Mytilus edulis: one gene and its partners. The protein of the gene in region 2 purifies or fractionates together with the protein of the main gene of each other region. This does not show direct contact. Links are inferred from orthologs where the notes say so. Each region holds a gene or a part of one and is shown on either strand. Other genes may lie near its edges.

Region 1 (7,475 bases), on a different chromosome or scaffold from region 2:
TTAAAAAGCAGTAGTAACAGTTACATTTGTATATACAAATTGACCACTTACCTAAAACTGCAACTTTTGACACAATACTGTAGATAACATCAACAATCAAGTATGAAACCCCTTACAGTAGGAATTACAATATAAATCATACTGGCATGAAGACAAATCTACTTATCAAGAGCTATATAAAATGGTCAACACTGCTCAGTTATCAAGGTACATCTATAAAGCTGTTGATCCTGATACCTTTGTTCATGTAAATAATATTATCATGTCTTAACCAATTTTCTTTTTTTCTATTTTTCAATATCTAAGAGCTGAAAATGTCATGTATTCAAATTGCTCTTATGTAACAAATGTTATTCTAACATAGAGTCTGAGCTATATTGATTTTAATAATGATTTATAAAATATATCTTGATAAATAAAATTTATTTTATTTACCAACTGCAATAAATGCTGGTTAACACTTGAATATTTTTGCTGTAAAATTCACATGAACAAGTAATTTCCAGGCAAACTTCAAGCCATTAAAAACAACCATCACTATACATTTGTTTATTCTTGATTACAAAGCTGTCTTTACAGAATTACATATCAAAATGGATTGTTCCTTCTTTACATAGTACAACTGACTGTTATAAAATGAAAATATTTGGTGGTATTTGACATATTTCTGCTGTAACAACTACAACACACAAAAGTCAACAAACTAAACATAAAATAATTTCTATCTCATCATACATATGTTTACCACTTCCATTCATACAAATGATGTTGATAACGCAGGTCAAACAAAATTAAAGATCAAATGCTCTCACACCCGGCCACCAATGAGTATGAAAAAAGTGTTCTTGGAAATTTTTTATTTTTTTCACTTTCAATTTGAAATAGAAGCCCTTTCTAAAAGCCATAACAAACAAAGTACATTATGTTCTCATATAAAATATTATGATCAAGTGGGACAATACGGCCCTCTAATTTTATTTTGCTTGGCCTCATGAAGAAATGATAGCTATATGTAATGTATTACACCAAAAATGTTGCCTTTAGTTTAATGTATATGTTATATGAATAAACCAAAAGGCTTGTTTTTATGTGAAAATAAAATATGACCATCTTAACTGTTTTTCTGTAGGTTTTCTCTGTTTTACATGTACCCAGTACATTTAACACATTGAGAACACTTCGAGAGTTTACAATGGTCAACTTATATCTCCTTCAATATGAACAAAAGGAGATTAGAATGAAATATCTACAAAATAGCAACCAGATATTACAATTAAACCAAAGCCTAATTTATGATCTCTTACAATTGACAAGCATGAGGACTATTCCATTTAAATGGTTTTGAGAGGGCAAGAAGGGGCTACCCTAACTCCACAAACAACCAAAATAATATGGATTCGATATTATTTGTAAGAAACAAATTTTCATGGATTTTGTGAGTAGAGGCGAACCACATATTCAAATGTTCAACAAACCACTAATTTTCTATAGACTTGTATGCAGACTTTTGTAAAATCACGAAATCCAAATATCCACGAAAATGCATTTTTTGGTTTAATCTATGAAAATTGGTACCCTCTGTAAATATAGAAAAATAAAATATGGATTCTGAACATTTCTTTTTTTTACATTTTTGTAGGTTTTACTGTATTTCATGTTAAAGCAGGTTTCACAAGTAAAACTGTGAGCTAGTGCTCACTGATGATACCCGCGATGAAATATTTCGGAATACTGTTTTTTTTTTTTTTTTTTTTGTTTTTTTTTGTTTTTTTTTGTTTTTTTTTTATAATATGGATATATGGATGGCTGTTAAAATTTAACTTCCATTGCATGCAAATCAAATATATATTCAGGGCGAGTACATTATAATGCGATATGAATATGGACCCTTCTTTGTGCAAGACCTGCATGCTGAGCCGAACTTTAAGCTTCTAATTCACGAGACACGATCTAAAACAGTCCTCAGGAAGACAAGTCACCCTAACCAGACACGTTAATCATAATCCAGGCTGACATGTTCGCTCTTACTCCTAGCTAGGGTGTCACGCGTCTAGCGGAGTAGCAGCAAATACTCAAGTTTCAAGTCTTTGGTTTGATCCAGTCCACGGTACCATGCGACCACGCCGAGTGAGGCATTGTGTTTTCTAAGTACTTTATTACTGATATAAATCAATTTTGAGATAGCAACAGTGAGCAAATTATAGTAAGTGCGTACCTACTTCCTCTTCCAGAAAAATCGCTGAAGAACGTGTTTTAACAACGACTGAACTTAAAGATGCTACTGAACACCAAAGGCATCAACTATAATTAAATTGAGAATGGAAAGTGGAAATATGTCAAAGAGACAACAACCCGACCAAAGAGCAAGACAACAACTGAAGACCACCAATGGGTCTTCAACATAGCGAGAAAATACTGCACCCAGAGGTGGTTCTCATCTGGTCCCTAATTAAAATTGTGTATATTAGTTCTCAATCAGTGAAAATGGACGTCACACTAAACTCCGAAACATATAAACGAACTAAAAATTAGAAATACACACAAGACTAACAAAGGCCAGAGCTTTCTGACTTGAGACATGTTTTCCTAAATAACACAAGAAATCTTTTTTTTTTAAATCTAGGTTTCAAATATTGTAAGATATTAACTTTTCCATCAGCCTTAAACGCTTTTTGTTTTTATGTACTAGTATTAGACAGTTTGTTTGTTTGTCTCCGTTGACAGTTATGATTTCTATACTTTGTTTACGACACTTTCTCATAAACGCTTCACTTAATTGTATCACAAATATGGAGATTTCTTGCGGAAGTAAGACACCCCACCTGACAAGAATTCATAAAAACAATGTCAACTAGATTTGTAATTGCTAGCAATAACGGATGGCACCCTTCCCCCATTGCCAGGTGAGCGGCAGCCATTTTGAAAAATTCAAAGTCAAAGATAACATATACACATGCCAATTAACATTTTTGTAAAGTTTCGTCAATTTTGGAGCATTTTGAAATTTTTGAAATTTTTGCTATTTCAATGGTTACGGGTACCATTTCCAAAATTTCAAAGACAGAAGCAACTTTGAGACATGCCATGTAACATATTGATTAAGTTGTAGAAGGTTTGATTTAATATTCTTGCAGGAACTGCAGCTTCAAAATGTTTTCCCTTAGGGCCAATGTTAAACCTTTGCCCTGTTTCCATGACAATGGTGGCCATTTTGGGATTTCCTAATATTGTCACAACATCTAGGCATACCAAGGAACATTACCATAAAATTTCATCCAGCTAGATCTTATAATGAAAGATTTAGAAATTGCATTTTTTTTCACATTTTATCAGTTTCCATGGCAACGGCAGCCATCTTGATGATGCCATACCCCGTTTGCACAATTTCATATAGTGGTCTACATTATGGTATAGTTCCATCAATATTGTTCAAGCCAATTCTGAGAAATAGCATGGACAAAATGTGTGGAAGAATAAATAAAATAATAAGAAAAAAAGAAACGTAGAATAACAATATGTCACCCAAACTCCGTTTAGGGTGCCATAATTAACACTGAGCTTTTTACGTTAATATTTATACTTAGGTACATACATGTAATAGAATTTGTCTTTCAAGTAAATCTTTTTTTTTTGGCCCTAATAGGCGCTGCCTTTTTGTTAGTAACGGTTGTACCAGTAGTGTAGCTTTGTAGTTCAATCATTGCATTGTATTTTGGGGACGAGAATGCTTCGTTTATATTTTTTCTAGATCAGTACTAACATATACTTCTATACTGATGGAACTATATTACTATTAAGTACACTGAATAGTCCAGGATTGCATTGAGACTTTATCGATGGTTAGAAATGAATCACTATAGATTATCAGAAATTGGAATAATAAAAGATTCTATAAGTAAAGAATTTAAATGAATTTATTGACTGGTATTTTTTTTAACATAAGTCATATTTATGTCTTTTCACAATAAAAAAACCCCTATCTTTTCGGTTATTGATTCTTCTGGGACTGACCAATATCCGAGACATATATGTCACTAAAATGATATACAGTCAGTGGACATAAAAGAGTTCCCACTCAAAAAATGTCCTATCATTTCCAGTAAAATCGATATTTATCAAAAAAATATCCCCAGTCACTTTATTTTCTTTGTGTTCACCTCGTCAGAAAATTAAATGAAGCGATGATGAATAACATCTTCGCTTTTCACAAAAATAAATCTAGGGGAGGGGTCTGAAGGAACTTTTACTTTTTACTGGCAATTAAGTTGACCCCACCATGCATAAGTTTTTAACAATATTTCCTTTAAATATTAGAACAAGCTTTCTTAAATAACAATCACCCATCAAATTTTGATATTAGTGCTTTCCTATATCATATCTATTTTTTTTTTATATTTATATATCGATGTGGACTTTTTTTTAGTGGCCACACTATTATCCGGATTAATTTCCGACTATAGATCTGAATTTATAATTTCATCACGTGACATATTCAAAATGGCGCTTTGCTGTGCAAGTAAGAAAGAAAAAGAAAAATCTAATGTTTTCTCATATATTTCGAATCCCAATTACATCTACTGCATTTCAGCAATCGCTACAAGTTAACACAATATCAATGAATGTCTACATTCAATTTATATTTCAGTACTTCTCAAAATACACACCATACAACAACATGCTTGCCATGCCGGCTTAAAACAGGCATGAGAATCGTAGATTAAAATGATGCTTATGGATACAAATTTATAAATGAGCATTTTGTTGAGGTGGTAACATCAAACATTCAATCTCAAAGAAATCTTGTTAACACCAATGAAATGTCACATGTAATTGAATACCTAAATGATTTGAATTGCCTTTTGAAAATAAGGAGATTACGGTACGATGCCAAAACACCTTATCGCAATTCGGAGATCTACCTGTCTACCTAAGTTTTTCCATACACAGGAGATCAGTTTGATCCTCTATATTTGGCTCTGGTTCATCGTCACTAACTACACTTGTGCTACTTCCGGTGTTATAGGTGTATTCAGTGTCAAAGTTTTAAATAGGGCTCTCCACAGTTAGTTCAGCCATATTGGATAGGGGGCAGATTTTTATCAAAGAGTTGGAAACAGTATGAAAGTATGGGAAATCCTATGCATGTTTCTAAGCAACTGCTCTATTTTAACAATGTATTCCCTCATTTTTCACACTACTTTTATCTCTTTAGTGACAATCTGCCCCCTATTCAATATGGCTGAACTAACCGTGAAGGAGCCTATTATTGGGTGTTCTTTCCAATGTTTCTCTAGACGATTTCCAAAAATCTTTACATTCTGCTTGATGCAAGTTTTAACATGGGTTTAACTTTGACTCATACAACAATCACTTTTCCATTGTGGTGTCGGATATTTTCTGATGTGACTTCAACATTTTCTGGGAACCTTTGCAATGACCAATGTCCAATTGTTTCATATTTTCATGTTGGGGCCTTTTATAACCAACTATACAGTACTTCCGATTTATTTGATCTTTGGCGGACAAATAGCAATAAGGTGTATGACAACTATCCACCAAAGATCAAATAATATAGGAAGTAAGAAATTACATGTATATGGCTTTTAACTATGAGAAAAACAATACTGTATAGTTGGTTATAAAAGCACACAAGTACATGTAGAATAGGCTTTTCTCATCAAGAAAGCTTAGAACATATTGAGAATCAAGCAATGATTGCTTATTGTTGATACAAATGACACATATTCTTTTAGTCAGTAATGAAGTTCCAGAACAGCCAGTTATATCTCCTGTGTCAGGACATGTCTATGAGAAAAGACTGATAGAGAAATATATAAAGGAGAATGGAGTTGATCCAATGAATGGAGAATCAGTAGCTGTAGAAACACTCATAGAAATAAAAGGTAAGTAGCATGACTTGTAATGAAAATAAACTTACAAAATTCAAGTGTATGCTTTCAAAAGGGGACATGTAATAGGAAAGAAAAGAAAATACACTTACAGGATTCCTGTACATGCATAAAAAAGGAGGACATGAACCATAAACGATGTATGAAATGGAGAAAAAAGGTTATTTAATGACCTAATAACATAATACAGTATATTGAAATATAAGATTAAGGTACATGGACCCTTTATAAAAATGGTACAGAATTCAGGAGGTTTTAAAGATATGCACTCTTAATAGAAAATATAATTAATACTGAAAAAGAATGCTCTCAAACATTATCATGATTATGCAGCAGTAAAAGTTTGCATGTAATATTTAGAAAAAGTCATTGCAGTCATTCTTATTGACCAAAGGAATCAACGTCCTGAGTGGTGAACAACTTTAAATAAAGAAGATTCTGGGTATTTCCCAGTGCAACAATAATCCAATCACAAAAATAATTGAAAGACATCTAGAGGTCAACATACAATTTTCCCCTGTAGCACATATAGGTAGAGTGATATTTAGTTAACCTCATCGAAATTTACAAAATTGTTTACAAAGTAAATCAATTCTTGTTTCACAGTTTTGTTTATTTTGAACTCTCAGTCTGACATTAGATAAAAAGCTCCTGTTTATATTTCAAATTTTTGATTTGACCAATCCTTTTTACATCAGACCAAGAAAAAAAGAGAAAGCATATTCCAAATTTACTGATTTTTAATATTATCTCATAGGATATGCTTTCTGATAATATTAGTCTTTCTTAAATCATTGTAAATGTGAACATCTGTGTTCTCTTTAGAAAGAAACAATAAAGATCATTAAATGGATTGAACAAATTCATCATGTAAATGATTAGTTCGTCATGTTTTTGGATAATATATTACAAGTGTATTTTGTTATTTTTAGCTAACCCTCTAGTAAAACCAAGACCTGCTTCTGCCACTAGTATTCCAGCCATTTTGAAGGTTTTACAAGATGAATGGGTAAGAAGTTTATCTGTTTTAACACCCAATCTATATAAATTAAACAAACATTCAGACATTTAGTTTATCTGTTTTAATTAAGTCTGGTTGTATACTTTCATAACTTTCAGATGCTTTGAAGTGACTTTAATGAGATTTGCTGCGGATATATATTCAAATTAAAAATGAAGATTCAAAAAATATCATTAGCCTATTTACAATCCATAAGTTTAAAAGAAAAAATAATTATAGGTTTATTTGAATTTTTTTGAGATATAGAACATGTAGAATATTTATTATACCCCCGCTTTAAAAAAGGGAGGGTATACTGTTTTACCTCTGTTTGTCCTTCCGTCAGTCCCATGAATATTTTTTTTCATCGCATTTTTCTCAGGAACTACAATACAAGGATTTCTGAAATTTGGTTTCAGGGTTTATCTAAGTCAGCTATACCGTGTGATGCATTTTCAGATTGATCACTCAACAACTTCATGTTTACCGAACACTTGTATGATTTTACACATGATAGCCAAGTTGAAAATTTTCGTCACATTTTTCTCAGGAACTACAATACAAGG
Region 2 (6,935 bases):
TGTTTATATACTGGCTTCAGAAAAGGTCATGAAGGTACTGGAACTTGACTTTCAAAAATAAATCATGTATTAAATGATCACAGATAAGAAAATTTCACTGCAACACCCAAAATAATCTAACTTGCAGTAGAATTTGTTAAAAAAAAAAACTATCAGATTTTCAAGGACCATGGTAGATAGATAGTTTGCTAATACATATCAACCCCTGCACTAATAATGCACTAGGAGTTATTATTTATCATGTTTTATACAAATATACTGGCTTCAGGAAAAGTTCAGACAAATGAAATATATGATGGAACTGTACATTTTAACCAAAATTATCTCTAAGACATGTAAGATAACAAACAAAAAAAATTCACTGCAACACCCAAAATAATCTCTCATTTATTAGAGTTTTGTTTTTAAATGCCCAATTTTTTAGGACTTTGGTAGATATTTTGATATTATCAACCCCTACACTACGAACTACATGTATTATTATAACAGTATTGATTAATAGGTTCTCCCTGTTGTATGTGGGTTAATTAGTTTCTTCATTAGTGATAAATAACCACAATACACAGTCGACTTTAGTTCAGAGCCATAACTGCAGCACCTGTATGTACTGTATGTAATTGATGCACATTATATACATGTACAAATATTTTGTGATAATTATAAGCATATTCATGAAATATATGTAGTAATAATTCTATGTAATGATTCTGAACTACCTTACAGTAAAGTGTATAGATGTAGAAATAAATAAATAATATAACTATGATAACAGATTTAAAAGTGTTAAAGTGATGATCAAATTATATTGCTAATAGATTTTTGTTTTGTCGGCTCATAAATGAAAGTGGAATGTAAAAGTTTCTCAAAACTACACCAATAAAAAATCATAGGCAGTTTCATGGTCCTCTAATTTAAAGACAAAGCAGCAACTACAATGTATCTATGGTTACTCTGCAAGCGGTTCAAACATTTTGGCAATTCTGTTTTCTTCAAATATTACCCTTTTCATATATATATTCCTCCATTTTTTCTTCTGTTTGTGATTTTTTATTAATTGTCTAATAAAAGTATAATCATCTTACCTTTGTCAGCATTATGTCCACCAGTTTGAGCTTCAATCATTTCTGTCTGAGTCTCTTTCTTTGTTTCTGTCAGCCATTCCATCATCTTTCTCGACAACTTCCGTGTTTTGGTTCACTTCTAACAACCACTTATAATAGAATGAAAGTTAATTTGGAAATTCTTCATTAGTTAGCACAAATCTTCATTTATAATCACAGAAGTAGAATAAATCCATGACCATCTATAGAATAATCAGAATTGGAAATGTAAAGTTTTTTATCACTGAATTTTGTATCCTAGCCCTCACTATTTTTGAATATCTTCATATAAATAAACACTGATCCTTGTTACATGTATTTGATGTATACCTTTTCGTGTGTATTAACGCTATGATTTCTGGTTTTAGTTGTGTTATAATGGAAAGCTGTCATGAATCCATCTAGTATGAAAGGTGTTCATAATTCCAAAGATAAAAATACAAATTGCAGGTGCTTTAATGATTGGTGCAAAGATGAAAGACTTTTGGAGTTGAGAAATTCAAAATGAATCTTAATAAATATTATAGGATATAATATAATAAAATGCAAGGAAAGTGTTAACTTCAGTCAAAACACAGTTAAATTCCCAGTTACAAACAACTTGATGAGTAAAAAGTTCTAATGTTGTAACAGTTTTTGTCATACATCAGTCTCAATGCTTAAGTTATTCATACTAGAAGGGTTGTTTACCTTGTTTGTGTGGTTTTCTTTCGATCTGTCACTATTCACATTAATAAAACTACTGCCTTCCTCCATTTCCATAATATTTTCTGAACCGCTAGAAGCAATTGAACTTTTCTTGCTATTTGAGTAGTTTGGACAACTTTGTACATGATGGTAGTTCGTTTTATCATCATTCTCTGCCTCTCTATGATAAAAGTAGTTGAAGTTTGAAACAATCACAGGCACGGGTAATGCAATTGTTAGTACACCAGCGATGGCACATAATGAACCTACAAGCTTTCCCCAAACTCCTATCGGTCGCATGTCACCGTAGCCGACGGTTGTCATAGTTACAACCGCCCACCAGAAGGCATCAGGTATACTATGGAAATGCGTACTTTCTGCATCTGCCTCTGCAAAATACACTGCACTAGAAAACAATATAACTCCAATGAAGAGGAAGAAAATGAGCAATCCCAATTCTCGCATACTGGCTCTTAAAGTCTGTCCTAATATTTGTAGTCCCTTTGAATGTCTTGATAATTTAAATATCCTAAACACTCGTACTAATCTTATCACTCTAAGGATAGCAAGAGACATGGCCTGGTTGTTCGATTTACCTTCATCGGCAATTACGGTACCTAGAGTGATAAAATATGGAATGATTGCCACAATATCTATAAGATTCATTACATTTTTAAAGAATCCTAATTTTCCAGGACAGGAAGCATATCTAACTAAAAGCTCAAAAGTGAACCAAATAATGCAGCAGGTTTCTATAATGAAAAAAGGTTCATTAAACTGAGGAATATCATCTTCCTCAATCGATGGTGTTGTGGAATTGCCAGTTTCACTAGTTTTGTTCAAATATCGATACTTTTTGAATTCTGGTAATGTTTCTAAGCAAAAGATCACAATTGACATTAAAATAACAACCACTGAGAATATTGCAATTAGCCTGGCTGAAGTTGAACTTTCTGGATATTCAAACAACAGCCAAACTCGTCTCTGGAATATATTTGTAGGTAATGGTTTTTCTTCTTCCTTGATAAATCCTTCATCCTCCCTATACTTTTGAATAGCATCATCTCCTAGTTCATAAAATTTAATTTCCTCTGAGAAAACATCTAATGGAACATTAACTGGCCTTCTTAAACGCCCACCACTTTGGTAATAATATAACACTGCATCAAAACTTGGTCGGTTCCGATCAAAAAAGTATTCATTTCTTAGTGGATCATAGTATCTATTTCGTTTCTGTGGATTCCCTAGTAATGTCTCTGGGAATTGGTTTAAAGTCCGTAATTGTGTTTCAAATCGTAGACCACTTACATTGATTACCACTCGTTCACTGCACTCATAGTCACTACCTGCCATATCACTGGGCCCCATACCATCGACATCATCGGTTGGCTTTGGATAAGACCTGGAATTGGGAAGAACATGATTTTGACGCTGGTAATTACAATTAGGCCCACCATTACCTTGTTCTAAGCTCATCATAGCCACCTCCATTTTGCATATAAATGTAAGCCCTACTTACAACATTTAGTTTTGTTCATGTCATCTTTTCATGAATAAATATATTCCAGTTATTAAAATCACAAATTAATTTTCCTATTTGTAAGCTGTTTAATCATTTCCATTGTGTGCTATAGAACAGTTGTTAAAGCAATTTTTAATTTCTTGACTCAATGCCAAAGCCTATTTTGTACAGTTCTAAACTAGTCTAAGTTGTCAAAAAGAAAACTGTGTTAAGATTGTGATCACCTTTGCAAATGTTATAATCATAAAATTCACTTTGACTGTAAATCATTGGCACTGATGTCAAAGCATAATTTCTTAAACACACTTTCTTAAAAGTACATGTTCTTTCCAAACTAAGATTATCGTCTGCATAAAACAATCTCAAGTCAATGTCACTTTTTCACTGTCCATTTTGCACTTTTTTCATAGTTTGTTGCATGTAATTAAGCGTTGCTGTTTTATAAACATGATGAGTAGGGTTCAATAAATTAACAAACCATTTCTCATGCAAAAATTTCACCCTGAATCGCTACAATTTACTGTTGATCTTACGTTGACATGAACCCATTGAGTATATGATAGAGAGTTGAGACTTTGATCGATTAACCAATCAGAAACCCGTTTACAAACAACTTTGGTTATCGACTAACAGGTGCTTTATGCAGTGAATATTAAATTACCATTAACAGTTTATTCTTCCTATGGCACAAAGCATATAAAGTCAATCAGCTTTGACATTCTAGAATACTACATATTTCTTCTCTTGATAAGAAAACTTACGTTAAAATATTAATTCACTGCGAGGATAATACTTCACCTTATTCCCTGTGGTACGTCATTTATCGGCACAGTACAAAGCAACGAAGAACAGACGTCTCAATCGAGTTATTTAGGGACGTGGTAAATTGCATGTGTTGGTCAGAGAAGACAAATTGGCGTTTTACATTTACCGCTGTGTATTTGAATGAGGGTCGATAGAGGCTGTTGAACATTTTAAAGACAAGTTACTGAGAGATACTTGAACAAAATGACTGCTTTCTTACCTCCAAACTTGCTGGCTCTTTTTGCTGCCAGGGATCCTGTCCCATACTTACCACCGGCGGACAAATTGGGTTTCGAAAAGAAGAGGTTAAGTTATGGTGGAGTTGCACAGTTTCTTAATGAGTTTGAGGTAAAATCTAAATATAATTAAGTACAATAGATAATGTTTTAAATAGATAAACAAACTTACAATGTTTCCAAAATGGCTGACACTAAAGTTGCCATTGTTTACTAATTCTGCTTTAGAAAGTATAAGATATGTCCAGTTTTGGTTCGTAACCCCAGTCCATCGTTAGCTCTTTGATAATTGTGTGTATTAAGAAGTCAATTCTTGTAGTTTCAATCACGATTTCCCCCAAAAAGCACAGTAATGACAATTGCAGATGAAGGCATTGTTAAGAAAATCATTCTTAAATAATTCCTTTTGATACCAAATGTAAATAAACACACATGTGCATCTTAAAGCCTTTCCATTGAATCTGAATCAATTGGTGGAGCTTAGGCAGTTCATTATGAATAATTCACACATCAATGTGTTAACATAATTTAATCCATGACACACATACAAGCGTCAAAGACTTACAAATCAAGTTACACATATGAAGCCAGATTCTGAAATGCAATTAAGCCATTCATGTCACCAATGGCAACTGAATTTTTCATATAATTCCAAAAATAGATAATTTCCTTAAAGATAATCCAAGTTTACTTTACATTACACAAATTGGAAAAAATCCTTTCAATCAATGAATTGGCCTCCATAACTTAAATCGAGAATAAGCTACACTAGTGTCACAAAATAGATGGAAATTGATTTCTGAAAAGCAGGATGATTTTAGATGTGTAATCCAATACTAGCGTTTACCTGTACTAAAGCTAGGTGTAATAAGCTAAATAGTTACACAGTGTACAGAAATCATAGGAAAGTGGATTCTGCGATAGAAATCCAGCTCTTACTTGTTTAGATACTAGGAGCAAATTGTAAACAATGATCAGTGGATAAAACAGTGTATTGATTGGGAAAGTGTAGAGGGTGATGTACAAACATCAGTTGTTAATTATCTAGATACACAAAACCACCTCTAATATATGACATAAGTAAACAAAGTTATAATGGAAACAGGCACCTATCCATCATTGTCCATTAATATTATATTTTTGGCCAGAGAAAGAAATTAGTACATTCATCTCTAGGTCTCAACTTCATTTATAGGTCTCAATTTCTTCTTTCTTTTTTTTTTTTTATATCTATGTTTTTTTTAATTAATCCTGATTTTTTGTTTACAAAATATCATATTTGAAAATTATGTATTATTTTATTAATTTGAATTGACAAATGATTTGGATATATATGTGGCTACTTATTGATGTTACTGATGCCCTATCTCAAATAACAAGCAAAATGTGACAAATGTTGAATATTGATTATATATTGACAATTAACTTTCTAGAAAGATACAACATATTGTTGAATGAGATTAGACTTGTGTATTACAATTTACATATGGCATTATTTTTTATAAAAAAAAGATTGGACTTGTATATTATATGGTACATGTATTATTTGTTAAAAAAAAAAGGATCGGATTTGTGTATTGTACATGTTAATGTATATGACCATTATGGTATTATCCCTAACAATATACACACATTAAATATTTTGTAGTTGTATTTAGTAAAAATAGAATTGGGGTAACAAAAATTCAGTGCTGCAACCCAACAACAAAAATGAACTAAAATAGCCATATTTAAATGGAGAGATCTGCACACAAGTCAAGTTAAAAAATTTGAAAGACTGTTTTAAATTTTGTGTTTAAAACAGAATTGAGTTACAGCCACGAAATTTTTGAATTTAGTTGTTAAAGCAAAATACAAAGGCCTTGGAATGTTTAGGTTTTAATTATTAAAGAAAAGTACAGAGTAAATTTTTTACTAATCACAGGTAATCTTGGTAGTATGAGAATATGTTCCAATTATGATGCCTTCTCTCCCCCCCCCCCCAAAAAAAAATCAAAAATATATCGAGTGTTTTTAACAAATTGTTATCAGGTTTAATCTGTAAAAATATAACATAAACTATCATACTTAGTTTTACATTATGTAATTGTACATATATTAAACTACATGTATCATATATTGAATTTCCTGTGACACATTTCCTTAGGTATAAAGTTACAATGTTAAGTCTCAGATGTTTATATATACATGTAAATAGACTTACTTGTTATTTTGTATTTTTTCCAGTAAAGGAACTGTTGTCTCATCCTTTGTGTCTGACCATTCATCCTTGTGACATTTATTCACTGGAACATTTTCTAAGTTGTTACTTGCAGGATCGCAGTTAATATATTGTAATGAGTCTTGATATGGTGGAGGATTTGAATCGGGAGAAGATATCGGTGGTGTTGTTATTTGTTCCTGTTGATTGTTTTGGTCTTTGTATTTGTCACTGTTTTTTTGCTGCATCTTGAATATGTTTGGAAGACATGCTGACTTAGTTTCCTCGCCTGTACCCTGACCGCCTTTCGACGAATCTGACACAGAGCATGACCTGCCACTATTTGGTGCCGATTTGCTTCGCCTTATTCTTTTGGCAGCCTGTTG
Region 3 (7,757 bases), on a different chromosome or scaffold from region 2:
GTATAGATTTTTTTCGATAACGTAACGCGTTCTTTGATTCTTATTCGTCAGGGTAACAATTTAGTCCAAATGGAGCAGAAGTGTTATCTTTATTTATAAATAATATGTTGCTATTTCGATGATACTGCTGTTCAGAGCTTGAGTAGAGGACAGTGCTGATTTGATTTAAAGGAAGAGAGATGATTCGGCCATGAAGTAAACTTAATTTCAGTCATACATTATTAAAAGAGATTTTTGTTGTTCATCATGTTCACATTCTTTCATTTATTTATTATTCACCCTCGTCCTTGATAACTGAAAAAAAATCACTTTATTACTCTCATGATTTTTCGTCGTAATGTTTTACAAAAATGAAAACAACAATGAGCATCCATACTGCATAGTCGGCTATAAAACTTTAAAGGCCACAGAAATGGACTGTTTTTCTTGCTACTTATATAATTAGTCTACAGTGGTCAATCCAGAAATTTTTGTAAGTTGGGGAACTGCCTAAGAAGGGGGTGCTCCAGTCATTCGTCAGTAATAACCTATATAATCAACCAAATTTTTTTCTGGTCCTTTTTAAATCGGACTCTGCTCTGCATGACACCAATGATGTATAGAAGTAGTTACACATCCTTGAGGCTTGATCATACAAGTTTATCTTTATTTAGAAAGTCTACATTACATATAAAGATATATTTACCTACCTCTTATTTTATAAAATGAATGTATTATTCAAAACATTGATAGAACCAAAAAAAAGTATAATGGGCCAAAATGAACTAGTTAATGACCTAAACCACATTAAGCTGAACAGGTTTTTTGCCGAAACGTTGCAAAAGCTATAAATTTTAAACTGTCATTTGGAATTCTTTTAACCCTTTCAACGCTACACAAAAAAAGAGAAAAATGGCTGCTGCTGCTGCATTTTTTTTGTGTTTATTCATTAGAACAGTATATTTCTTTTCAGACTGCTGTATCTTTTTTATTATAAGAGATACAGAAAAAGTTATTGCATGAAAAATGCTCAGGAGAGTATGAACTGTAATGTTAGGCAGTTATTTCAGTAAAATTTGTATCAGGTTACCTGCATTTTCAGGTAATTAACAGGTAAAAGGTGTAATTTATTACATTTGTGTTGAATTTTGAATAAAAACTACTTTTAGTCTTCATCTATTTTGTTTTTTTATCTGCCATATAATAAAGAAGACACCAATTGCTCGATTCCGTAGCGTATTGCACCATACATAACGTATTATGTTATCATGGCACAAATCAGTGGCTCCGTCCTCAAAATTTTCAGTCAATCTCTGTTTTCCCCCCTTTTTCTACGACTCGTAATGATCGATCAAATCATATTTTCCACACGAATTGAATGTAATAAACACATTGAGATAACAAGAAACCTTTTAACTAATCCTAGTCATCAGTTTTGCCATAGAAATGCTGAAATATTTCCATATTTACAGCTTCCTTTCCGATTTCCGCCATTTGCATTTGTCAAAATATTTGTTTTTATTTTCCTTCAATTTTCCTTCTACTGCATGATTTTACAATAAAAAATGCCGGGATTTCAAGCGCAAATGAGACCTTGCATATCCTAGATTCATACAAGGAAAAATTAGAGAGGACCCGAATGAAAACCGAATGGTTTAAGAGTCCTTATGAAAAATCCGTTGTCATCGCGGCATATGCCGCGAATAGCAGTGGCGGACGGCGTATGTCATCGCGACATATGCCGTGTATAGCGTTGAAAGGGTTAAGACTTTTCTAAAAATTGTCAAATCATGATCTTGTGCATTGCATTCTGCTGCCTTTGTGAGTTATGTTTTACAGTTTTCGAGCTTAATTAATTGTTTCTCTCCTGGTATTCTGGCATTCCTTCACTATATAATATAAGGAGATAATGTATTATTGCCATTTGAGATAATAATCCATCAGATACCAAATGAAATAGAGTTTAGTTACTAAATCTCATCTGGTCAGAGTTCGCGAAAACTTGTTTTGACCCGTTGGCCATGGGACCGATAAAGCAAGATCAATAAAAGTCAGTCCTACAAAATTTTAGCCAGTCCTAAAAAATCTGTCAATTTTATCCTAAAATAAAAATAAAATATTTTATCTAAAATAACTTTATTATTGTTAGTTTGATTTTTCACAGCCACCGGCAAATAAACAATGAATAACTGATTCTTATCTTCTGATTGTTCTTATTTAAAGTCATCTTCACTATCCATTTCATCATCTGAATCAATTTCTCAGTATTTGTTATCTCCACCAAAGGGTTCAATCATCGATTGTTTGCCTGGGATGGCTTAATGAACAAATTTAGCAGGCCACATGTAGATTGGCGCTTTCGTTTCCGTAGGTTTCCGTTTGTTTATAATAGGAAACCAGTACCGGAAATTACCAGCAGGTACATCTGATGACCGAGGTAAATATGTATTGCAGTGTAACTAATTACCGATTAAAAAGGCACTGCGACGGCCATTTTTACATCGGTCATCAGGACCGGAACTAGCTTTCAAAATATTGGTTCAAGCCTCATTTTGACCGACAGGACCGGCAGGACCTACCATTTTCGTGAAATCTGTCTGGTGACCTTGAACAAAGAACAAAACCTCAAGCATGCTTTGAAATGCTGTCTTCAATCATTGTCTTTTAACTTTTTATCTCTCATGTAAATTATCTTCTCTTGTAATGTGGCATGCCAAACGGTAAAAATTCACTGTAGAAAATTAACAAATGGATTTTGTTCAAAAAGAGCAAATAAAATTCAAAAATAATATACAGCAACAAACAGCAACCACTGAATAATACATTTGCAGGTTGCTGGAAATACTGGTCTGGGTCAGGAACATACAGAATATGGTGGAGTTAAACATGTTTTTGTGCACCCATACATTGTACCTCCCCTCTATTTCCTCACATTTCAATCTCAAACTTCATATATGTTCATCATACCCATTTGTTAATCATGTTTAAAGATCACTCTGAAAACTTTTTGTTTTTATATTTCCTTTTTGTTTTTAGCTCACCTGACCTGAAAGGTCAAGTGAGCTTTTCTCATCACTTGGCGTCCGTCGTCCGTCGTCCTGCGTCCGTCGTCCGTCGTCTGTCGTCCGTCGTCCGTAAACTTTTACAAAAATCTTCTCCTCTGAAACTACTGGGCCAAATTCTACCAAACTTGGCCACAATCATCCTTGGGGTATCTAGTTTAAAAAATGTGTGGCGTGACCCGTCAAACCAACCAAGATGGCCGCCATGGCTAAAAATAGAACATAGGGGTAAAATGCAGTTTTTGGCTTATAACTCAAAAACCAAAGCATTTAGAGCAAATCTGATATGGGGTAAAATTGTTTATCAGGTCAAGATCTATCTGCCCTGAAATTTTCAGATGAATCTGACAACCGGTTGTTGGGTTGCTGCCCCTGAATTGGAAATTTTAGGGCAATTTTGTTGTTTTTGGTTATTATCTTGAATATTATTATAGATAGAGATAAACTGTAAACAGCAATAATGTTCAGCAAAGTAAGATCTACAAATAAGTCAATATATTTAAAATGGTCAGTTGACCCCTTTAGGAGTTATTGGCCTTTATAGTCAATTTTTAACCATTTTTCGTAAATCTTAGTAATCTTTTACAAAAATCTTCTCCTCTGAAACTACCATGCCAAACTAAACCAAACTTGGCCACAATCATCATTGGGATATCTAGTTTAAAAAATGTGTGGCGTGACCCGGCCAACCAACCAAGATGGCTGCCATGGCTAAAAATAGAACATAGGGGTAAAATGCAGTTTTTGGCTTATAACTCAAAAACCAAAGCATTTAGAGCAAATCTGACAAGGGGTAAAATTGTTTATCAGGTCAAGATCTATCTGCCCTGAAATTTTCAGATGAATCGGACAACCCATTGTCGGGTTGCTGCCCCTGAATTGGTAATTTTAGGAAAATATTGCTGTTTTTGGTTATTATCTTGAATATTATTATACATGTAGATAGAGATAAACTGTAAACAGCAATAATGTTCAGCAAGGTAAGACCTACAAATAAGTCAACATGACCAAAATTGTCAGTTGACCCCTTAAGGAGTTATTGCCCTTTATAGTAAATTTTTAACAACTTTTCGTCATTTTTTGAAACTTTTCTAAAAATCTTCTTCTCCAAAACTACTTTGCCAAATTTAACCAAACTTGGCCACAATTATCATTGTGGTTTATAGTTTAAAAAATGTGTCCGATGACCCAGCCTACTAAACAAAATGGCCGACATGGCTAAAATTAGAACATAGTGGTAAAATGCAGTTTTTGCTTTATATCTTTGAAACTAAGACATTTAGGGCAAATCTTTCAACATTTAAATGTCCATCAGAATAAGATATATCCCCTCACAAATTTTGAGTTGAATCGGACAACCGGTTGTTGGGTTGCTGCCCTAAAATTTGTGATTTTAAGGATATTTTGCAGTTTTTGGTTATTATCTTGAATACTATTATAGATAGAGATAAACTGTAAACAGCAATAATGTTCAGCAAAGTAAGATCTACAAATAAGTCAGCATGATCAAAATTGTTAGAGGACCCCTTAAGGAGTTATTGCCCTTTATAGTCAATATTGAACAACTTTTCGTCATTTTTGTAACTTGTATAAAAATCTTTTCGAAAACGACTTGTCCAAATTTAATCAAACTTCGCTACAATCATAATACATTGTACTAGGGTATCTATTTAAAAAAAAAAGTGTCTAATGACCCCGCCTACCAACGAAGATGGCCGACATCAGTAAACACATTAACAGGTGAGCGACACAGGCTCTTGAGAGCCTCTAGTTATATTTCCTTTGTGAAATTTTCAACAAAAATAAATTTATATTATTGATTTATCATGGTCAACTTTTCAAGCAGTTTGAAATGAAATTCTTGTAGAGGCAGATTTAGGTGGAACAGGGGGCCTGGGCCCTTCTTTTGTGGGAAATATTGGTTGAATATTCAGGGTATCATTGGAGCAGGCCCCCTCATATGGTAGTCAGTACCCCCTCCCTTCTGTATCTGCCATTGCCTTGTAATTAAAATGTTAAGAAAATTATTGAAAAAATGCATACACATACATGTATATAGAAGTAAAACTTTAAATCAAAGCTAGACTGATTCCATCATGGGGGGCATAGATTAGATTCATTCAGGTACATTTCAAAAGGAATGTATTTGAATTATGTTATATGCAAAAAATGTGTTAGTCCCTTCATCATGTTCATACTTTCATTTTACAACTTATTAACTTTTTTTTACTTTTAGGAATTGGTATGTAACTGGTTTTCTTGTACAGAGAGATAGGGATCCTTGATTGATTATTAGCTATTTTGTTAATGGACATGCAATAATAATTTTGCAAACAACAACTTATCCAAGAAACAGTCCATCTACATATCAGAATTTTATTAAGCTGTTAGAAATGTGGATACTGCTTTTGAGTTTTACATTCTACCATTATCATGGTCAATGATGTATAAAAATCAAACATGGGCTAGTTAGGCAAAAAAATTGCAAATTTGTGTATTATTTCATGTCGTCCTGGTTTTCCTTAAAAGAGGAAGAGGATATGAAGACAACAGTTGAAAAAAAATCCCTCAAAAACCTACAATAGTGAATACCATGATAAAAAAAGAAAAACACTGTAAAGTCAAAACACAATATAAGTTCACAAAACATCACATAGTAAAATTAAAGATATTAACAGGTGCTCTATTCTTCTGTAATTTTCAATGCATATTTTATATCAGTAAGACAGCAACCTTCATAATACAAAATACAAAAATATATCTTGAAGTCAACATATGTTTGAAGAGAAGGAACAAACAGTTGTTTAAAGATACAGAGTAAGAAAATTACTTGTGATGGAGGACCACTTGACTAAATTCTAAAAGTTAAAAGTCCTAAACTTTAAAACTTTTCAGGCTTTTTAATCATGTGTAAAAATACAACAAACCATTGCAACTTCTTTTGTGTTCAAAAATAAATGTTGTATCAGTTTATTGTTTCATGTTGGTCCTATATTATTAGGCATATTAAAAATATAAATATAATACACATTTGACAATATACAGACAAATCACAATATCTAAAATACTGTACTTCATGAACTTATTTATAAAAAAAGTCAAATATATTAGCAGGGGAATTTAAAGAGGAAAAAGTTTCTAATAACAGACGAAGATCTAGATCACGATCACCAAGAAAACCACGTTCAAGAAGTAAGGACAGAAAAAGATCAAGGTCTAGAGAAAGAAAAAGGAAATCAAAAAGGTATTCTGATTCATTAAGAAATAATCACCAAGGCCAAAATAAAAAGATTGTATGTTTGCCCAAACGCGACCGACCCAAAATAAACCAGCCGACTCAAATTCTTTTTTTGACGTTTTATGGAAGAATTTTTTTTTTTCTTCGGATTTATTTTGGGTCCGCTCCGTCATCGTACGAAACTTAATATTTGTCATCTTTGCGTTTGAAAGTAACTAAATAAGATTAAAAGAAAGCGTATAAGAGACGCAGTTAATCGATATTCGATGTTCTCTGTTTTTATCTTCTGATTTAACGAACGTAAAGAAGTAAAACATGTGAAGTGGCACAGTTTTTTTACGCTGTAGTTGTTTGTACTACCAAACCCTTACCTATATGCTCAATGTTAATTTCATCGTGTTATCGAATATCTGATAAGAATATTCAGGTAGATTTGTTCAAAACCATGTGCAATCGAATATTTTCAAAGTTATTCTGACAGGAAATGGATCCGGAAGTTGCGAATTTACAATCATGCAAGAAGATTTTGTTTTTACTGAATAAAAAGGAATTATTTCTCGATAAATTGTTGTCTTTAATTATAATCTTCCTTTATCATGTAAATTAGATGCCCTTTTATTCAAATAGTTCAAATTTACAAGTCTCATTAGACAGTCAACACGTTGCTGTTTGGGAGAATTTGATAAAACTATAATTGCTCACAGAATCAGAAATATAATCTTAACTGAATGTAGATCCTTCTGAATAATTTATTGCAATATAAATATAAATCCCTTTTGACAAGAGAAATCTGACTTTTGTGAGAAATATTTTTTCACATGTGCAAAAGTAAAAACATGTTATGGACACCATATTGGATTTTTAAAGCAATTGCTTTTATGCCGTCGCGTATGGCCATCTTTGTGACCCAGATCAGAGACTCCGCCCAGATCAAGCCATAGTATTTTGTTAAACAGGCTCCTGGTCAGTCATTCTTTAACACCTATGTATGTTTTCTAATGCAATACATAGCTTGAAACTTTAAAAAAAAGTTAGTAGATTTAAGAAGTTTCAGAATATGTTCTTGTAGATGTATTTTTGTATTTAAAGGGTCAACCGTTTGACTATCAAATAACATAGAAGTCCGAGTGAAAAAAAGTACATTTTTATAAATGCGATTCCGTTTTCCGCCGTTCGTACGATGTTTCAACAAAATATGGATTCATTTCAGTTGCTGATTTAGTATTGAAAATTTAACTGAATTATCTCCTAATAAATACGGTTTTTTATGTTTAATTTGTGTTTCTTTAAGAGGTCAGGTGCTCTTGTTCATTCATAAAATTATCGTTCATTCATACATTTATCGTAAAATCAAAATCACTACACAGGTTAATGCGTAGTGTCAAATTATTACCTGTAATCTAAAAATAGACAAACTTTATTTGCGCAAATAATTTAGCGGAACGAAACCCTTGTTGAAAACACATAACAATAAGTTC
Region 4 (7,749 bases), on a different chromosome or scaffold from region 2:
AATCAAGTTCCATGTATAGCTTTGACATCAAAATAAAAAACAATGTTTTACAATATTATCTCCCTTGATGTTATAAATAATAAATTGACTTTATAACAAATTCTGTCTCATATTTTACATACCATATATGGCCTGGTTTTTGGTCTGTCTCCTTCCCATTCTTGGGTAGAATTCATTTGCCAAATCATCTTCTGTAACCTCAAATCTTTCTACTTCTGGTGAAGACATAGTTCACTGTCTAAACAACATGAACAACAAACTGAAAGCAATCATTGCATGATATTGAAATACAAACACAGTTTTGAACATGGTTTGTACATGCAAATTTAAGTTTTGTTTTGTAAAAAATTTATTTCTTCTTTTTTTTTTAATTGTTTTCAAAGAATCTTAAAATTTCCCAATCTTTTTGATTGGATGAGAATTTTAAATCATTTTTGGACATGTATATACCAGTATGACCATGTAAATCATGTTGATGACCAGCCTCATATCAAATATGACGAAAATGCGTTTAACTGATAAATCTACGACAAAGGAACTTCAAATTGTGATCGTTGGAGAAGTATTAAAATTCAAATGTGAACTGTCAGTGGGGAAACAATTTTGATCAAATGAAGAAACTATACTCCTGGATGTTGCAATGCAGACTTACTGATTTTCCTGGGGAAAATAATTGTGATGGTCAATTATGAGGTTTATAAATAATTAACAGATTAGTGACCCATAGGATGGCAATAAGCGGATTAGTTGTAATCACAACTTGTAACACCTGTAAATGTAAATTACCTAAGGGTCATAAACTTGTCAAAAACATAAAGACAGGTAAATTTAAAGTATTTTAATGTGAAAATATTTTTACACTTCCAAAATTTAAAAAAAAAATAACGAAATTGATTTGAAATACATTACTTTAGTCAATGCGAAAACCATTTCGTAAATTATGAAAGTGAAGAGGGCTAGCAAAACCACTGATTGTATGGCTGTTTAGCTGGGTTTTTTTTAGATAGGTAGTGGCTTCTAATGCCTGACTTATTTTAATATCATAATCATAGGGTAGGGCTGCAAATAGAACATTATCAAATGAAGAGGGCAAAACGGCTATAGATGAAATGGTACTGTGGTCGAACAAGTTGTGTATCTGTATATCATGTATATCTAAGTTGTTATAAATTATGAACCTAACAAGTTACAGATAATTTTTGATGAACCATATGCATAAAACATTATTAACTTCTTCTTCTTCATCTTCCTCTTTTAGGAACACCCCTCTTTTGAGGGTAATATGGATAAAAGTCTTTAACTATGTACACACTCTGTGAATATATGTAAACACTTGCTAAAATCTAAAATAGACTTAAGTTTCTGAGTTGACTGATAATTGTCAACAGCCAATACACACTTATCAGTTTTAGTGTTGTGTTATGCATCTTGTAGCACATATCTCTTGTGAGCATTTTTATAGTCGCTGTCAGCTGAAATTCGTAGCGGTTATCGGTAAAACTAATCTAGACTATCAACCACGTTCATTCATGATATAGTTTTTCATATTCCATTCATAAATCGCAAAAAGAAAAACCACACTACTGACCTACCTTTTAAGTGATTGCAATGTGATAATCCTGACCTTCACATTTTCCAAGACGATTTTGAATGGTGGAATCCGCCATTGTTTTTACCGGAAGTGCTTCCGTGGAGATCAGTTTCATAAAATTTGCATAAAGCGCGGGAAACCTTATCACATCAATGAAAAGAACATTTCAGGAAACTGTGTAAGTGACGAATATCATATGTAAACTAATGATCCTCATAGAAAGAAGATGGTGGAATTACAATGGAAAACATTCTGGAAAATGTGAAGGTCAGGATTATATGGGGACAAAGTCCCCAATTACGGTAGAAAAATCAATAAAAAATTTTTTTTTTTTAAATTTCGGGAAAATTTCCCGAATTTTTCATTGTACTAATGAACTCAAAATCGTTAACTTTTTTTTCAGATCTACTTCCGTTTCCAGTCTTCTTCCGTTTCCGGTCTTGTTTGCATGAGACTTTGAATAAAATGTATATTTATCAATATATCAACAAATATTATATAGGAAGGAAATCAACACCCAATCATTTTTAATAATTGTTTGATATGAAAAAAACGTTACCTGGATAACAGCGTTTCTATGTTTACATTGAATATTACGTCATAACTTAAATAACGTCACAACTAAACCCCTTACAACAGAACCAACATCGGAAACGTTACGGTATTTCCGTTTCTTTTATCAACATGTTTGAATTAAAAAAAAAAATTACAGACTTCGTCCCCATTCACAGGTAATGGCTGCCTCATATTATGATTACTACAGTGTGATGACTTAAAAGGTAGGTCAGTAGTGGTTTGACTTTTTGCGATTTATGAATGGAATGTGAAAAACTATATCTCGAGTGAAAGCGATTGATAGGTTAGATTATTTTTACCGATAACCGCTACGAATTTCAACTGAGGGCGACTATAGTTCTTCTATTTTGAGCTTGCTTTCACTAAATATATATGTGAAGTTTGTACAGTCAATTACAAGGACTGTAATTTTATGTCTATCAATGAATGTTCTCTTTCCACTTCATTTGACATTCCTCCAATGATATTTGGTTACATAAGTTTTTATCTGGTTGAAAGTTTCTTTTCTTGTCTCACTTTAATGCTGAGCAGGTAGTAAGCATATGAGTAAGGTCTTCTGGTTCTTGATTGCACATTTGACGAGTTGGAGCAATTTCATATCTGCTGAATTTTATGCCGATCAGCTTGTAGTTGTAGGGTATACGTTCGTGTCATCATCCTACTTTTGGCATTAACGTAACTTACAGGTAATCTTAAAATCAAAAAATTCTAAATATTTTGAGTTCATAAACCTGTATACCTGCTAGCTAATGAAGCACCGTCTGTATGGTCTATCAGCTAAATACTTCTGCTTTGCAAAACCAGAAGGGAACACAAACAATTTTTCTTCAACGTTCAATAGTATTTTTTAAGGTCAAGTTACAGTAAATGGGCTATGTCATAGATTTCAGTAAAATTTGGCATACAGCTCTGGCTCGATGAACTTCAACTGAAAATCGAAATAATAATGCATTTATCTCAATTATCATTTGAAATATTACTGATTGAATTCTTACAAAATGGGTGAACATTTGTATAGAAAGCACATAAAATCGGCGAAAACTCTTCTAAAATTTGTCTTAAAATCGCCAAATCTCTAATTCTACTCCATAGATTTTTCTTAAAAAACTATATGTTGTTGATACATAAATTTCCGTTATAATGATGCAAAATAAAGATAGGGTCACCGACTTCGTTTTTACGGTATATATCATTCAAAGATGCGTTCTTTGTGAAAAAAACCAACAAAACGTCGAAATAATCGTAACGTTATCGCGTTGCAGGCCGTAAAACGTTGATTTTTGACGTTTTTCACTACCAATAAGGTAGCAAAATGATTATTAGACAAAAAACGAAGTCGGTGACCCTATGATTATTTTATATCATTAAAACAGAAATTTATGTGTCAACAATATATAGTTTTTTAAGAAAAATCTATGGAGTAGAATTATAGATTTGGCGATTTAAAGACAAATTTTAGAAGGTTTTTAGTCGATTTTATGTGCTTCCTATATACAAATGTTCACCCATATTAAGAGAAATCAATCTGCAATTTTTCAGAAAATAAAAGAGATAAATGTATAAATTTTTCGATTTTCAGTTGTAGTTCAACGAGCCAAGGTTGTATGCAATTTTTTAACAAAATCTGCGACATAGCCCATTTACTGTTCCTTGACCTTAATGCATTCGTATTTGAAAACACGACAATGATAATGACTAAAATTTAATATTTAACCAACTTCGGTTATGAAAAAGCTATAATTTCCGTGTTTAATGAAATCATTTAGGTTTGTTTTATTTGTGTAGTCATTGTATGATTTGGCTTATGTTACTGCTTTTTGTATCGCATAGATTATATAAATCATTCTAATTTTCTGATTATTATTTTTTTGTCGTCACTTTATGCCGCCCCTCTTTACATGTATTTCTCAGAATAAGTTTGAAAAATGATCAACCCGGCTCAACTTTATAAGAAAATGTTAGATTAGTTAGTTTTAGTTTAAACATTTTTATAATATGTATAGTGGATTGGGGAACACGTTATTGAAACTCATATTTATCCCTTTCTTAATTTCTGGTGCTGCATTTTATTATTTATTCTGCATGCCTTGTTTTATTTGTTATTGCATATGTTTTTATATTCGGTGAATAGCTCATTAGAGCTTATGTTTGTACTGTTTGTCAATATGCCGAGTCCAAATATAGTTTTACTTATACTTACTTACCTACTTTTCTTTTTTTTTGCGCGTGCGAGTGTTACCTTGTAGAGGCATTATGTTGCTCTTTTTTCGAAATCTACAAGGGAAATGTGGTATGAGTGCCAATGAGCATGATGGGACAACTCTCCAAGTCATAATTTGTTAAAGTAAACCGTTGTAGGTCAAAGTACGGTCTTCAACACGGAGCCTTATTTGGCTCAAACCGAACAGCTAGCTATAAATTGCCCAAACATGACTAGTGTAATAGCATTCAAACAAGAAACCCGACGGCCTTAACTAATTAAAAAATGTGAAACGAGAAACACTTATGAAAAACATCAACAAACAGCAACCGCTGAACAACAGGTTCCTTACTTATCCGCGGACAGGTACAAAAAGATACAGCGGGTTTAAACATTAAAAATAATTTTGTTGTAAGGACAATGGTTAAGGTTTTTCTTGTTTGTGTTAAAACAAACATGAGTTCCCAATCAAATTGTTCCTCATCTATTTCATATTGTATTCCCATGTGTATAACTCTATGAATGAGATTTATAGGATATTTTAGAATAAAGTCGGGGCAAATAAGACAAGACTGTGAGTGAAGAGTGAAGTCATATTCTAATTTGAAAATAAACACTCTATTTACATATTTTTTTACATAAATTTCTAATTATGCAGTTTTTGAGGTGATGTTGCTATAGATAATATATGTTTCCATAGTAACAATTGAAGTCAACAACACTTGACGATAGTAATTTAAAGTTTGCGTTAGCTTTTATATATTTTTATCGGTTATGACATTTAAGCTCTCAAACTGCGATATTCTGCAAATAAAAAATCGGTTGCTATGGTGATAAAACTATAGAAAATCCCACGTATTTTTTTTTCATTTAATTTGGTAAAGTAGTATCCAAACTTCATAACTACAGTGCTAACTATTCTGTACACATTTGGACTTTTCTAAAAAAAAACACCAGAGAAAATTTGATAATTTAGAAGAAGAAAAAAAACAATTTCAGAAAAGTTGAAAATATCACGACATTTTGTCATTTGGCTGACATGCAATCTTCACTAAAATGAAGCTTAAACCAAGTTGTATCAATGTTACATATGAACATTAATGAAAAATACATGATTCTATTCATAATCAGGCTCTAAATTGCGGTGATTTAGCTGATTTTTTAAAGCTTTTTCTACTCTTAACAACCAAAAAATAGATTGTTCGTTAACATGGCAACCATTCATATTTTCCCACTCATAATTATTTTTGAGCAGTATTCATTATTTACTGCTTCTACTATGTCAATTATAAGATAAAATCTGAAACCTTCATATATCGCACTCTTCCTGGTTCTTACAAAGAGTTGTACTTAAATCTAGCATTGGACATCCTTTTTTTCATATAAAGTATAAGTAAAATCATTCGAAAGTAAATAAACTCATCATAGATATGTGAACGTGGAAAAAGTCGCACTAATTTATGTATTTCTTATTTCGGACATTTGGACTTGTTTCTTATATTATTTATAGTTTCTGTTTAATCTTTCGGACAATTTCATTCTAATTCAACAGACAATGTACTTTGATTTGCATTCTTAAAGATCTTTCATGTGTGTCACTTTTTAATCTAAAACTGTGAGAAAAACTATACAAGGGATTGTGTTAATTTATGTTACACAACTATTTCATTTCATAATTATTTTAATCCGTTAATGTCGTACATAGATAATTCTTTTCAATATATATTTTATCAGTTCTTGTCCAGGACATGTTTGATAACAATGACATTAATCCGTTTTTCAATTACGGTCTATTGTTACTTTAAAGTGTTAATCTTATGTTTGTAAAATTTGTCAACTTTATTGTTATGTAATCTTAATTCTTTGACAACCTGTAAACATTGTCTATCTTTATAATGTTTCGACTGAAGTTAATTCTTTAGTCGGAGTCAGCCTTTTGAACTGACATCATCCGTTCATTAAAGTGAAAATAAAATCTATACTGAAAGTCTTCGTTTGTATTCGCTCTACCAGTCTGTGAGTTAGTTCCGCCAGTGGATTTATGTTCAATAGGCAGGGGACCAGTCTTCGGTCACTGTCATTCGTTTCGGCATCTTCGCCAGTTTCAGCAACAGAACCTGTTGCACGGTATCAAACATTCCAGTTACAACAACGTTGTCACATTTGGCGGAGGTAATCCAGAGGCGTGTTGTCTTTTTAGTACAACACACGGTACCGCGTACCTCAGCAGTCAAGCGACCAGAGTTCTTCCCCATCTTCGTATCAACTTTCAGTGATGGATTTTAATCTAAGACCGCAGTGGAGTATGTGGAGACAGAATCATTTCACACATCAATATCCAGTTTGTGGTAAATGTGGACTTGCACATCATCGTTTCGAAATGTGTCTAGCTTACAACAAAAGATGTTTCTCGTGCGACAAATTCGGACATTTCGCAAGACAGTGTTTCACAGCTAGACCAAGTTTATTCGGTAAAGTTCGATTTACTAAATCAACAAGTTCGAAAGTGTCAAGTGAACAAAAGAATTCAACAAAAAAACAACTTAGAGACAATCGCCGTTTAATACAGTATTATTCAAATAAAAACAGTCTCAGGGAATTGCCATTCAGCAGTGTGCGAAATTCAGCATTCATGAACTTTTTCGACCAGGCAGCCCCAATGAAAGTCGAACTAAAACAAGCAAACATTCAATTACGGAAAAATAAATCAGTGGTTTCCGCAAAATCAGAACTTTTAAAAAGTGCACAAGAGACTATAAGAACTCTCACCTGCAAACTAGTGAAAAGTCAAAACCAACTAGATTCGACAGAGCAGTTGAAAGAATGTTTAGACAAAATCACCAAACTAGAGAAAGAAAAGGAAGACAATGCTGCATGCACGAAAAAAATATCAGATCTAAACAATTTCCTAATTCTAAAATGTGACTATCAAACTAATGAAATCGGAAATATTGCTACTCTAAACCATGAACTTCGGAACAAATTTAAAATTCTAACAGATCAATCTGCCGATATGGAAAATCAAATAAGAATTTGTAGGAATAATCATATAAATCGTCCCAATGCAAGTCAGTGTTCCAGAAATGGACGTTTCAACAACCAAAGAACTTTTTATAGATAATTGTCATTTTTTCAATACTTGCGAAACGCGAGGACGCGTTTCATTCGAGGAGGGAGAAATCTGTGAACGTGGAAAAAGTCGCACTAATTTATGTATTTCTTATTTCGGACATTTGGACTTGTTTCTTATATTATTTATAGTTTCTGTTTAATCTTTCGGACAATTTCATTCTAATTCAACAGACAATGTACTTTGATTTGCATTCTTAAAGATCTTTCATGTGTGTCACTTTTTAATCTAAAACTGTGAGAAAAACTATAC

The links.
Region 1: the proteins of U1 small nuclear ribonucleoprotein 70 kDa-like (region 2) and pre-mRNA-processing factor 19-like fractionate together in Homo sapiens (co-fractionation; 3 studies listed by BioGRID, with this or other methods). This does not show direct contact. The link is inferred for Mytilus edulis from reciprocal best matches to the Homo sapiens genes SNRNP70 and PRPF19.
Region 3: the proteins of U1 small nuclear ribonucleoprotein 70 kDa-like (region 2) and splicing factor U2AF 50 kDa subunit-like purify together in Homo sapiens (affinity purification with mass spectrometry; 4 studies listed by BioGRID, with this or other methods). This does not show direct contact. The link is inferred for Mytilus edulis from reciprocal best matches to the Homo sapiens genes SNRNP70 and U2AF2.
Region 4: the proteins of U1 small nuclear ribonucleoprotein 70 kDa-like (region 2) and tuftelin-interacting protein 11-like fractionate together in Homo sapiens (co-fractionation; 3 studies listed by BioGRID, with this or other methods). This does not show direct contact. The link is inferred for Mytilus edulis from reciprocal best matches to the Homo sapiens genes SNRNP70 and TFIP11.

The regions. Positions count from the first base shown.
Region 1 is NC_092349.1:80,858,352-80,865,826, forward strand, and holds the start of pre-mRNA-processing factor 19-like, read left to right. Parts: upstream 1-4,456; 5' UTR 4,457-4,497; coding exon 4,498-4,516; intron 4,517-5,753; coding exon 5,754-5,903; intron 5,904-6,841; coding exon 6,842-6,918; intron 6,919-7,475. UniProt on the Homo sapiens protein: Ubiquitin-protein ligase which is a core component of several complexes mainly involved pre-mRNA splicing and DNA repair. Required for pre-mRNA splicing as component of the spliceosome.
Region 2 is NC_092350.1:51,881,873-51,888,807, forward strand, and holds the start of U1 small nuclear ribonucleoprotein 70 kDa-like, read left to right. Parts: upstream 1-3,910; 5' UTR 3,911-4,317; coding exon 4,318-4,461; intron 4,462-6,552; coding exon of another isoform or gene 6,553-6,935. Other genes in the region: potassium voltage-gated channel subfamily A member 1-like, read right to left, coding at 1,115-1,210, 1,791-3,189, 6,553-6,935. UniProt on the Homo sapiens protein: Component of the spliceosomal U1 snRNP, which is essential for recognition of the pre-mRNA 5' splice-site and the subsequent assembly of the spliceosome. SNRNP70 binds to the loop I region of U1-snRNA.
Region 3 is NC_092352.1:31,991,502-31,999,258, forward strand, and holds the start of splicing factor U2AF 50 kDa subunit-like, read left to right. Parts: upstream 1-4,752; coding exon 4,753-4,765; intron 4,766-5,277; coding exon 5,278-5,283; intron 5,284-6,155; coding exon 6,156-6,285; intron 6,286-7,757. UniProt on the Homo sapiens protein: Plays a role in pre-mRNA splicing and 3'-end processing. By recruiting PRPF19 and the PRP19C/Prp19 complex/NTC/Nineteen complex to the RNA polymerase II C-terminal domain (CTD), and thereby pre-mRNA, may couple transcription to splicing.
Region 4 is NC_092353.1:62,694,283-62,702,031, reverse strand, and holds the start of tuftelin-interacting protein 11-like, read right to left. Parts: upstream 3,019-7,749; 5' UTR 2,907-3,018; intron 1,692-2,906; exon of another isoform or gene 1,593-1,691; intron 260-1,592; 5' UTR 229-259; coding exon 123-228; intron 1-122. UniProt on the Homo sapiens protein: Involved in pre-mRNA splicing, specifically in spliceosome disassembly during late-stage splicing events. Intron turnover seems to proceed through reactions in two lariat-intron associated complexes termed Intron Large (IL) and Intron Small (IS).